Drosophila melanogaster: one gene and its partner. The gene in region 1 interacts genetically with each later gene. Each region holds a gene or a part of one and is shown on either strand. Other genes may lie near its edges. The genes, in order: Arr1 and Culd.

The links.
Region 2: of Arr1 (region 1) and Culd, changing one suppresses a phenotype caused by changing the other (phenotypic suppression), as found in Drosophila melanogaster (one study listed by BioGRID).

What each region holds. Positions count from the first base shown.
Region 1 is NT_033779.5:18,076,143-18,081,871, reverse strand, and holds Arr1 (arrestin 1), read right to left. Parts: upstream 3,604-5,729; 5' UTR 3,485-3,603; coding exon 3,376-3,484; intron 3,224-3,375; exon of another isoform or gene 3,142-3,223; coding exon of another isoform or gene 3,075-3,141; intron 2,957-3,074; coding exon 2,149-2,956; intron 1,916-2,148; coding exon 1,786-1,915; intron 1,726-1,785; coding exon 1,678-1,725; 3' UTR 565-1,677; downstream 1-564. Other genes in the region: ninaD (neither inactivation nor afterpotential D), read right to left, coding at 1-19, 79-207. UniProt on the Drosophila melanogaster protein: Regulates photoreceptor cell deactivation. Arr1 and Arr2 proteins are mediators of rhodopsin inactivation and are essential for the termination of the phototransduction cascade.
Region 2 is NT_037436.4:8,351,645-8,358,164, forward strand, and holds Culd (CUB and LDLa domain), read right to left. Parts: upstream 4,653-6,520; 5' UTR 4,565-4,652; coding exon 4,361-4,564; intron 4,299-4,360; coding exon 3,968-4,298; coding exon of another isoform or gene 3,957-3,967; exon of another isoform or gene 3,905-3,956; coding exon 3,500-3,904; intron 2,967-3,499; coding exon 2,598-2,966; exon of another isoform or gene 2,540-2,597; coding exon 1,835-2,539; coding exon of another isoform or gene 1,794-1,834; exon of another isoform or gene 1,783-1,793; coding exon of another isoform or gene 1,769-1,782; coding exon 885-1,768; 3' UTR 711-884; downstream 1-710. Other genes in the region: GAPcenA (GTPase activating protein and centrosome-associated), read left to right, coding at 123-290; Idh (isocitrate dehydrogenase), read right to left, coding at 5,011-6,291, 6,372-6,428.

The DNA of each region.
Region 1 (5,729 bases):
TGGGTGTCAACGGCAAGGCCTTTTTAATAAATCGATTAGTACTCCTCCTTAATTTTATTTTTATACACCGCCTCTCACCTTCATAATCCCTGAGTCTATAAAGCCAGGCCAGCATATTATGGCCAGGAGTCCGGAGACCGCGAAAAAGGTTCCCAGGCCGAAGACCCAGGCCTTTTGTTGGGTCACCCCACAGCAGCTGCAGCACATATTGAGAGACGAAACAAAGGCTTTCGAGCGACTGCAAAGTGGAAAAATATCGCTCGAGTTTTTATTCATGCGTCGCTTAGTAGATTATCCACTAGTAAATAAAGCAGCGGCTAATCATCATGTCTACTGTGGTAATCAGCTCGGTTTGGTTTGCTCAACTTATTCTGTGGGGTGATTGGGATCTAAGTGTGTGTTTAGAGTACCAAAAATCCTGATAAATGCAAAACGCTGCACTTAGTTTATTGAGAGTGCTGGCTAATCAGCCAGACTAGCAGTAGTAGCTATTTCATGCTGCCACGTACCAAATACCACTTGGTAACTAAATCAAATTTAACGATACATGGTACAATTTTATTTATAATAGTATATAAAAGTAATTAGGTACATTTTTATTTTAGGAATTAAGTTTCGTTTATCAGTTCTTAAGTTTTTAATAGCATGCCAGAGTGCTTCCTAATTCGCATTATAAATTAACTTGAAGCTAGTTGATTAAACTATTAATACGGTCAACTATTTTTGCCTTGACGCTCGCCCATCTTATCGGTTATATAGCATGTATGCTTAAATTAGTATTTGCAATGCAATTTTTATGGTCAGCCACTATAAAAGATCACTTCCAAAGACGGCAATCTAATCTTCCTTAATGAAATTCGATTAATCCCATTACGCAAAACCATTTTAAACTCATTACCCACCTGGTCTGCCGAAATGTTGGCAGCGTGATTGATCAGTATTTCAACCCTGACTATTGGAAAATTTTGATTAGAGTGGCGTTATCGTTAATATTGGGTGCTTATTAAAAGTGGGACTGCAAACATTCACAAATTAAATGGATGCGTTTGAAGTGTGTTCGCTTAAATTTTACGATTTCAAAGTCCAGCAAGAAGCTCACCATATTATATCAATTATTGTCCATTTTCCTTACTCGAATTCAGTTCAGTAAACTTCCTCCAGCATAGTGGCCAAGTATTAATTAGGCTGCTCCTCGGCTTTTCAGAGTAGCAATAATTGGAATTACTAAGCCACAAATGCAAGACCCACTATTAGTAATTGAATAGATTGCACTGGCTTCTGTTGATTTCCCCATTGCACTTCAATGTACATAATCAGCAGACATTGCAAGATATCAAATACTACGAAATGCCTTCGTAAGCACATTATTAAATATTTAGTGCGCATTCCATACAAACTTTCAATGCTGGAGCCTTTTCAAATACACCGTGCTAAATTCAATAGAATACTCCAAAATACATACATAAACTCTGTTCATATTTAATTGTTAGTTGAGTTATAAATATAATACACATACACACATACAATATATGGATATTGGATTTGCTATATAGGAAAAGTACGACGACTGCAGTTCAGAACATTTCAGCAACATCAGCATTTTTTAGGATCTACAAAAATCGGTTTGACTTGTAGAAATACGCCATTTTTTTCGTTGGTTGAGGTAGCCCTTTCAGTTTAGGCCTCAATGGAGCCCTCGGCTTCCAGTTGGGCCTTGCGACTTGGCTGTAAATAATTGATTGCCTTTCAATAACTATTCAAATATTTGGGCACACCTTTTATTACCTTCGGGTGCATCAGAATAAATGGTAGCTCAGCGCAGAGCTCGCCGCCCAGGGCTCCCAAGAAAAGCTTGACCTTCACAGCATATGAAACAATTATGCCAAAGGCATCCCTCGCATCCTGACTGGCAATACTGAAATAGAATTTTAAATATGCATTTTTCACTTAGTATTAGTATGCGTTTTATGCCATTTTGTAAACACATTTAGCTAAAGAACTGTTAGTCACCGGGAAAATACGATTTTTAAAAAGGTTCCTAACTTTAAAATTTGATTGATTTTATGGTATGATTTTAAGTTGATACTTAATAGAGTATAATATTAATGTTTCATCTGCTAAGCTATGATGTGAATAAATTTTACTCACAGTGTGGTCGAGGCCAGAGCTGTGTCTTTGCGCTTGATATCACCCTCAACGGCGATGCCTGCGCGGTCGCAATTGGCCACCAGGGTGGGCACCAGATACATGACCTTCTGCAGGCTGGATCCCGGGTTCAGGGGACATCCCTCGCTCGTCTCCATGAAGGCGATCGTGTTGCGGAACTGACCGTTCTGGAACAGGACCACATCGACGCCCTGCTGCACCATGGCCTTGATCTTCTTCACCACCTTGTTGGAGTTGTTGCGCACGCAGATGTTCACCGAGATCTTCTCGCCGTGATGGTACAGCTGCTTGTCGAGGGTGACCTCCAGTTCGAGCTCTCCGGGCGACAGAAGGAAGTCCTTGCGAACGACGGTGCAGGGCTGGATGCCCTGCTTGGTCGGTGCGTACTGCACCTTGCGGATGCCCAGGTTAATGGTGCTCCTGCGATGCGATCGATCGCAGTCGCTGTCTCCGGTAAAGATCTTTACGAAGTACTGGACTCCGCAGGGCTGGCTCTCGTCACTGGCCTTCTGCTGGAGAACCACCGAGGCCGGCGAGCTTGGTGGCATCTGCATCACGAAGGGATAGGCATTGGAGCCAAGCTTCTTCAGCAGACGCTCCTGCATCTTGGTCAACTGGATGTCCTGCTTCTGGGGTGGGCACACCTGCTGCGAGACCAGGGTCAGTTCCTTCTGGAACCGCAGACCGATCATCTCGTCGTCCTCGCGCCCATATCGGAAATTGCAGACCAACTGCACGAAGATCTTGCGGTTCTGGCGCACGTACTCATCGTCCAGCACAATGATTCCATCTGCAAGAGGACGCTTATTAATTGGAGAATATTATTTACAAGCGCCCAGCCTCTTGGTTTGCTTGCTCGCGTAATCGATGAACTTGGTTAGCTGCTAGCGCAGCCAATTTAACTTAACTCCCTGGGCTATTGAATTCAGATGCAATTTTGAATAACTCCCTGAGTTTATATTTGCTGGTCGGCATATGCAGATTCGAAATGGAGTTTTTATAATATAATTTTGATTTGATATCACTTTTCAAGGAAGGTATTAAAAATTCCAATGTGTTAAGTTGAAACAAAAGTTACACTGAAGTTATTTTCAAACTATAAGATACTTCAATCGAATATGGGTACCAATTCCTACACGAATTTATTTTTTGATGGATTTCCTCATTCGTAAATCCCATTGCTCAAGGGTTTCGGTCTGTGACACCTACCAATGGGTTCCACCTGAGTCACGGAATCTACAAAATCACGCCTGTTCATGTAGAGCGTGATCATGTTGTTCGGGGAACACTTCTTGAACACCTTGAAATTGACCACCATTTTGGAGCTGTTTATCAAAATCTCTGCGGAAATAGTTTAAACTTTGGATGTGCCTTTAACGTTTCGCGCTCGTTCTCGATGGTATACGCCGCGTTGCGTGGTCCACTAGGCTATTAATTAGCGCTCTTTGGCAATCCGGCATTTATACCTGGCATTGTGGCACCTGTCGCCCCTCTAAATTCAATTAGCCGCACAGCAGAAATTCAGCAATTGCACGGCGGTAAACTACTACGGCTTCGGCAACCTTGCTGTGCGCAGTGTCTTTGATATTGACATTGCAGCACGACATCGACATCGATGGCTCAAACATTAAATAACGCGCGAGCAACACGGCGTATTAGCAATGCAGGACAGGTGAATGTACAGAAATAGCTCGAGAAATCGATTTAGTATGCGTATTTTGGTTTGTTGTTTTCCGCCTAGGATGACGTATTTAAACCCAAACATTACGTGGTGGGTTTTGTTCTTTTCCATTTACGTAATTGTTGTTAATTTAATTGAGCCCTAAGCACTCGTCGGCTAAGTACTGATAAGCGGTTGTTTATTATGACATTTATAATAGCTTTATGTTAACTGGAGACAACTACTAGTTATAACAACGAGGTACTTAATAAATTCCAAGTATTCCAAGTATTTGCTTCGGAATTTTCAAAATAATTGGTGAAGGATCCCATTTCAAGCTAGATGTAATAATATTCTTCTTTGAATTATATTAAACATTTAAATCAATTTTTCCCAACGAATCTAGACGTTATGTGTATATATATAATGACACATAAGAACTTAAGCTTTACCAGTAACTGTCAGTTGAAGGACCTGCACATTCAATTATGTAAAAATATTCTATGCAAAGCTGCTGGCCCTCTCACCATTTGCCATTTCCATTTTGTGCTATGAAATCACATTAGCATAAAGTAGGCTACTTAACAAAGTCAATGAACGTAATAATTATACTCCTGACATTAAAAATATGAACAAAGTTGTGTGAAATATATTGTTCTTTATTGTGTGGTTGGGGACCGGACAGTCGAGCAAGTGGGGCGGAGTTTTCCACCAACTACATCCCCCCTTTTCGTGTGTGAAAATGTGGCGGGAAAGTGCGGGAAAGTGTCGGCGGACAGTCGCCAAGGGTCCAACAAAACCGACAATGAGGCCCTTAATAATAGCAAAACTTTTGCACTCACGACGTGTGGGCCAGTAGGAAAACGGCGCTGGTTATGGGCATGTCTCTCATTTAAATACATTACAAGTGAACTTTCCGGGAGGCATGGCCACGGTGTTGTCCTGAAAAATGGCAATATGTTACTAAATGAGGTGTTCTTAAGATTCTGTTAGAAAAGCGTTCAGAGTTTTTACATTCAATCCGTCTATAGGTCTAAACTCATATCAGAAATATGAGCACTTGTCTTAAAAGAGGACATTTTTTCTAGAAATACAATGCAAAGCTATATTATTGAGTGCATGGCTGACCTTCTAAGGACTTCTTTAAAGTGCAACGCGTTTAAAGCAAAAACTATTTAAGCTTTGTTTTTATCACACGGATACTTTGAAAACCCATCACCATCTCAAATTCATATGTGGTCTGTTGAACCATCCTTTATATGGCAGATTATAGCAATACAATAAAATTGCAAACGACCACAAAAGGTTGACTTTATTATTTGTGCGCAATTGAGCTAGCTGTGGGTGGTATTGACCCATTTTCGAGAGTACCTCTTCAGACTTCTACAATTTCCGGATTCCCCTTAAAGCAGGAGCGATTTAAAAAGCCACGGAAGCAGTTTGCCACCATTCTTCTCTTTCAGTCCACTCGAGAGCTAATTTGGGCAATTCAATTGCCTAACCAAGGCGAGACAAAGTCGACGGCCAAATTGCATTGCACAATCAGCGCGATTGCCATGGACCAAACTGCGGAGTTTGGCCAAGAGCCCAGAACAGGCACCGAATGCAGTGCAATTGTCGTTTGGCAAAATCGACGGCCAACTGGAGCCAGACTTTTGGCCACAATCAGACTGCAAAGAAAAACGATAAGCTTAAAACTGTACCTCTATAAAATAGGTTAAAAAACAGTTTTATTTTTTAAGTCATGAAAATTTTACCTTAGTTTAATATATTAATATTATATTATATTAACAAGATAAATATCTTTTATTTATAATTGTCTTTTATTGTTGTTATTTACCTTTAAAGAAGTATGCTATATCAGAAAAAAAGTTTAGTTTAGCATACTTTTGCGCTTCCAATT
Region 2 (6,520 bases), on another chromosome or scaffold:
TTCTGTTAGTACCCTAAAACCCGGGTTGCTTATGATTTTATTGATATTTTGCGTTGCAAATAAAACCCCGTGTATATAACATACTGAATTTGAATCTTTTGGTCCCTCGAATGGCTGCCCAGGAGTACAAGACCTTTGCATTTGCGTCGGTGGGAGGGTCACCGAAGTTGCCCAGCAAATTCCAGGCCACCAAGCTGCGCAACAGCATCGATAGTCTGCGCAATATAGTAGTGCCCCTGGACACTGGCAAAACGCTAGCCGAGAATCTCAAGCAACAGCTGCAGCAGTAGGAAACGATACAGCTACAACGTAGGAGGATCTGGATAGCAGGCAGACCTACGGCATTGACTACGTCTGGTATTATTTATCATATTCGTCTATATATACATATAAAAACGTGCATTTTGATTTCCATATATACGCGAGTAATAGATTTTTATTATTTTGCACTTTGAGGCACCCGAAAGTCAGTGCTGGTCAGGATGTGCCCCGGATCAATTAGTGGGTTGAAGTGAATCTTGGGCGATGGATGTTCGTTGTTGTTTTTTGTGATCTGATCTGGGGCACATATTGATCTGCTCTGGCAAATGCTACACGTATAACGGCTATAAATAAATAAATTAACAAAAAATGCTAATTCATAATGTAATTATTCATTTCTTTTTGCGGTATGGTACATATTATAAAGAATACAAACGTTGCGACCTTTTGGATAAGTCTTGATGAAGTTGAAGTTAATTATTTATTAAGAATTTCAATAAGCTAATAACATTCGAGTAAGAAACAGGCTTATTTATTTATATGTGACTAGAATCCGACCAGAATCACACCAGGCTTTAATACTATCGTTCCACTTGTCCACTCTTCCATTTTGAATCTCCCGCTCAGATGAAGAACAATCGCTGCATTGCCTCGCTCGTTTTTTGTGGCGTCGATACCGCCATTGTCGCGTAGTTCATCAAAAGATCGGCCGACGAGCTGCGCTGCATGAGACGCCTCCTTCCGGCACTGCCACCTCTGGCATTGCTAAAGGATCGGCTCCTCACATGACCCCGATGACGCCTCTTGGGCCGCTGGGCTACGGCTCCAAAGCAGGACACCTGCTGCTCCGCTTCGCTCTCACTTTCGCTGTGATTCGGGTGACTTTCCACTATCACATGGGACTGGAGTGTCTGGTTGGATTGCTCCATCTCCTGGGTAATGGTCTCCGATCCACTTGTGTCCTCGGGCGTCAAGCGAGCTCGTTTGCCCACACTATAACTCGATGGGTCCCTCGACAACTCGGATCCGAAATTACTACTGCTCCGTTCATGTGGAAGATTAGTGCCGTAGCTCAGGAAATCCGGGTACGGCAGATGCAGCTCATCGCTAGTGAATGCTTCAGGAGAGGAGAAGGTATGTCGCAGCCTCCGGACACGGTAACCCCTGCCAGGTGGAACCTGTTGCACCACCAACCACGATCTCTTTAGGAAGGTGTGCTCCGTGCAATTGCTGATTGTCTGCTCCGGACTTTGTTTCTGCAATTGGTTCTGGTCGGTTGTCACAGGACTCTCTGCCGTGGTGGAGGGCAAGCCTAGAGTGAGTGAAATGCTAAGTGAGTCGCCTCCCTGGGTGCACTCATCTGCCGTGCTGCCGGGCGTTGTGGCTGACCCACCTGCTGTGGGTAGTTCACCCCCAGCGGATAACGATGACGGGCTCGTTGAAATCCCCACGGATTGGACCCGCTGCCCTGACTCCTTTGCTGCCGGGAGAGACGTGCCTGCAGTGCCTGCAAGTGGGACTCTGTGGGTAAGTTAGCGACTGCAGGGCGGGATTGGGGGAACTCTCGACCTACCACAAATAGCCGTGGCGAGGAGCATTCGCTGGGCCATCGTCTGGACGTGTTCGGCATCCTCCGTTGTATCCGTGGCAGCCACCGCATGGGTCATTGCCGCCGCCGAGGTACTGGGCTGTTCTTGATCCCTTTCCAGGGTGCAGCTGCGATGCAGTGGGAGTACCGATTGCACGGTGCAATTGCTTGCGGCGCGACTGCAGCTCCGATCTCTAGGCGGAGCTCGACGGGCCCGTCTCTGGCGACGTGGCTCCCGTAGCTCCTGTTGCATTCCTACCTTGATGACCTCCTCGTAATCGGGTGGTGCCTCGTAGCTGGGTGGCTCATCGGGCGTGCGATCCTCGTCCTGGCGATCCAACAGCTCACTGATCGTCTGCAGGTGGCTTTGAAGCTCACGTTGGTGTCGTGCTCTAACCCCCATCCTGTACAGGATCACCATCCAGCCGGACAGCACACCAAATATGCCAAGTGTGCTGATGATAAAGATTCCCGTGGCCGTCTTAAGATCTGGATACTGGTCTATCTTGGGGAAATAATAGTTGGGCTTGTGAGAGTACCAGCGACGATCGTGATGCAGGTGTGCCCAGTCCTCCTCGCAGGAATCCGGCTCATCGCTGCCATCCCCACAATGGTCGAAGCCATCGCAGTGGAGGCGAATGGATATGCAGTGATTGTTCCCGCACAGAAACTCCGAGCCAATATAGCAATCTAAGCAATTCGAATTGGTTAATTAAACATTAAATTTAAATTTTCCAATCGAACTCACTCAAGTAGTTGAACACGCTGTAGACGATGGCCAGCTTGGAGGACATCCCGAATACCCCACGCAGTCGAATGTAGTAGCCATTGAGGATGGGCGCCACATGACTCTCCTTGCTCAGCCCATTGTTCGGCCACATCACATTCTCGATCTCCACGGCATCCGAGGTGGTGCCCTGCCGTATTGTGAGCTCAGATCTGGCGGCCATGCCGTAGAAGTCATCCACTCTCAACGAGATGTGGGTTTTCATCATCATGTAGTTGTTGCCGGGCTTTATAATCCAGATGCAGTCAAACAGCCGCACGTCCGTGGCATTTTCGATCATGTTCATCATGGTGATGGCGCCACCAGGTCCGGTAACCATTCCCCCGCAATCTAGAGGTGTAATAGAGATATGTACATAAGCATTTATTTATGTGCTCTTGCATCATGCATTGTGATCCAACCTGTCGCAATAGTGCATAACCAACCCCATTCCGGATTATATACAAGTATTTGCCAACCACCCTACGGGCAATGATCCAAGAAATCGATTGTCTTACCAAACCGAACCCAACCAGAGTCACCCAGTTTCCACTTCAACGCCTTGCATTGACATTGATATTCGCCAAGTGCCCACCCCACCCACTACCTTCGCCAAAATCAATATGACAATTGCCTGCAGACTTTCAAGTGCTCGACTAATCCGAAAATCATTAAAATGTCCCTATTCCTACAGAGAAAAGATATACTAATCCATTTAAAAAGTTAATCAATCTGCGAGTTCTAAAATGAAGATAAGCATAATGTTCTATACTTTTAAAAACCTCGAATTTTTTAATCCTGCGGAATATTTGTGTTTTAACCTTAGATCTGAGTTGTTTGATAGTCTTAGTTTTTGTTCAGTGCACTGCAACCCATTCACTTACCTGTGTAGGGCACCAGTCGCTCGTCCTTGAGCTGCTTGGAGGATACGAAGCTAACCTCCGCGCGAAAACCCACTCCGGTGGCGGAATTTCCTCGAAACTGCAGGAGCAGAGACTTGCCGCTGCTCACCGTGATCGGCGGACGGAAGTGCTCACCCGTATAGGAGTCCAGCATCTGGCCATTGGAGTCGAAGATCTCTAGGGTGGAGGTGAGGCCCAGCTGGAAGTCGGTAAAATCCAAACGCACCTGGCAGTTGTCCGCCTCGCAGGTGAGGATGTGTTCGATACCATAGTCGCGTGGATATGCCATCGGGAAATACGGCGTGGAGATCACTTGTGGCTGGGACTTTGTACTCCCATTGCCCACAATAGACTGCTTGGGGGAGCCACTGACTATCCGCACGTTGCCTATTCCGAGGGAAATCCGGATAGAGCATTCTTAAAAACCTACCAACTGATTCTAAATCTTACGTTCCGAGAAGTATTGAAGGGAGAACACGTGCGCATTGCTGGCTCTGTAGAAGAATTTCAACTGCAGTGTCCTGGTTTTGCTCCGAAACACCTTGCCATCTCCACAGAACTCTTGGCCGGAAATGGTGGAATCATAGGGCGGCTCCGAGAACTGGATATGCTCGCAGGGACACATGCTGGACTTGCCACCCGTATTGCCGCAACTTTTGGAGAAGTTGGCATAGGTGAAGGCCACTCGGATGACGCACTCGGCACAGGTGACCAGCTCCAGGCTGCACTGGTACCACACATCCCCGGCCACTGCATCGTTCTTAAAAACCAGCGGCGAGCTCTGTTTTTAAGTTCATAATTGCTGACCAAATCCCGTCTGGAGAAGCTTGTAAATACACTTACTCTATAGGCAGTAGTAGTCACATTCCTGGCGTGCACCTCTCCAGCTGGACTTCCCAGTTCCAGGAAGTGACGTCTTCCGTCCCAATGATTGCATATATCCAGATCCCGGTAGCTACTGCTGGCGGGATACGCCTCTCCTGGCCAGCAGAGCAGGCAGATCACGTAGGCCAGCAGGTAGCCATAGCCCAATGCTTCGGCTAGCATCGATAGTTTCGTCCTTCTAACAGGATCCTGAGCCCCTTCCGCTTGAACCGTCTCGGTCTGGTGCCGCCAAGTGTTAGAACACAACTGTGGCCATTTCGCTGGCAAATCCAATAAACCCAGAGCCATCAGAAGCCGCACAAGTGGACCGGGCCTCGTAACGAGCCCACCCTCGACTGGGTTAAAGACCTCTCGAGTCCGGTATAAAAATACATTTATTTGAAATTTCTTTTCCGTTAGACGTTAAAGGGAAATCAGGGTTTTTTTTTGCGTCTCGCAGAGACAATGAAACAGTGGGAAACATGCATCGAGGACACGGATTTTTAGCCTAGGACATGCACATCTACAAAAACGAATGGAAATATTGTGAATATGGTGACGAGGACAAGGCATCGCTGAGTAGTTTTCTAGAGATGCGAGGCCTGCTGCTCGGACTGAGTGCCGGATAGTCATTTGGCAGCAACGGCATTCTTGGCCAGGGCACCCTCCAGGTTCTTGGCCAGCGTGTTAATGAACTCAAAAGTCTCCTGGTAGTCCCTGCGAGTAACGGCGTTGATGTTGCCTTTAATGCAGATGGCCAGATCCTTGGTCATGGCGCCGCTCTCAATTGTGTCGATGCACACCTGCTCAAGGGTGTCGGCGAACTGCTTCAGTGGCTCATTGTTGTCCAGCTTGGCACGATGCAGCAGGCCACGGGTCCAGGCGAATATCGAGGCAATGGGGTTGGTGGAGGTCTCCTTGCCCTGCTGGTAGAAGCGGAAGTGACGCGTCACCGTTCCGTGAGCGGCTTCAGCCTCCACGGTCTTGCCATCGGGGCATAGCAGCACGGAGGTCATCAGACCCAGAGATCCGTAGCCCTGGGCAACGGAGTCCGACTGCACATCACCGTCGTAGTTCTTGCAGGCCCACACGAAGCCACCCTCCGACTTCATGGCATAAGCAACCATATCGTCGATGAGACGGTGTTCATACCAGATGCCCGCCGCCTCGTACTCCTTCTTGTACTGCTTGTTGTACAGGTCCTCGAATATGTCCTTGAAGCGTCCATCGTACTTCTTCAGAATGGTGTTCTTGGTGCTCATGTACAGCGGCAGCTTGCGGTCCAGAGCATATTTGAAAGAGGCGTGGGCAAAGTCCACAATGGAATCGTCCGTGTTGAACATTCCCAGGGCAATACCGGGGCCCTTGAAGTCATTAATGACCTCATCGATCACCTGACCGTCGGTTCCCTTCCAGGTGAGGGTCAGCTTGCCGGGTCCGGGAACCACGTAGTCGACGGCCTTGTACTGATCGGCGTGGGCATGGCGACCGATCACAATAGGCTTCTGCCAGCCAGTCACCAGACGGGGCACGTTCTTGCAGATGATTGCCTCACGGAAGACGGTTCCTCCCAAGATGTTACGGATGGTACCGTTGGGCGACTTCCACATCTTCTTCAGGTTGAACTCCTCTACGCGCTTCTCGTCGGGAGTGATTGTGGCGCACTTGATGCCCACGTTGTACTTCTTGATGGCCTCAGCACAGTCAATGGTGACCTGGTCCTCGGTTTTATCGCGGTTCTCAATACCAAGATCGTAGGTATGCAGCTCAATGTCCAGGAAGGGCAGAATCAGTTGGCTCTTAATGGAGTCCCAAATGATGCGGGTCATCTCGTCACCGAGGACATCCACAACGGGACCGGCTTTGATCTTCTGGGCCATCTGTTCGGGAGAGCATACCACACTTGAGTGCTTGAAGGGCAGGATGGGAATCTTATTAGCTACATGAAAAATGGATTTGTGTCTGAATGCTGCGGTATTGGGGTATTCACCTCGCTCACGGCGGACATCCTTTCATTATCCATGGATATCTTATGGGTTTTGGGGTCCTAAGCACAGGCGATACAGGCGAAACTTATATGTATGACGATAATAAACTGACAACTGGTCAAAGCAAAGTAAACTTTGATCAGCCTGGGAT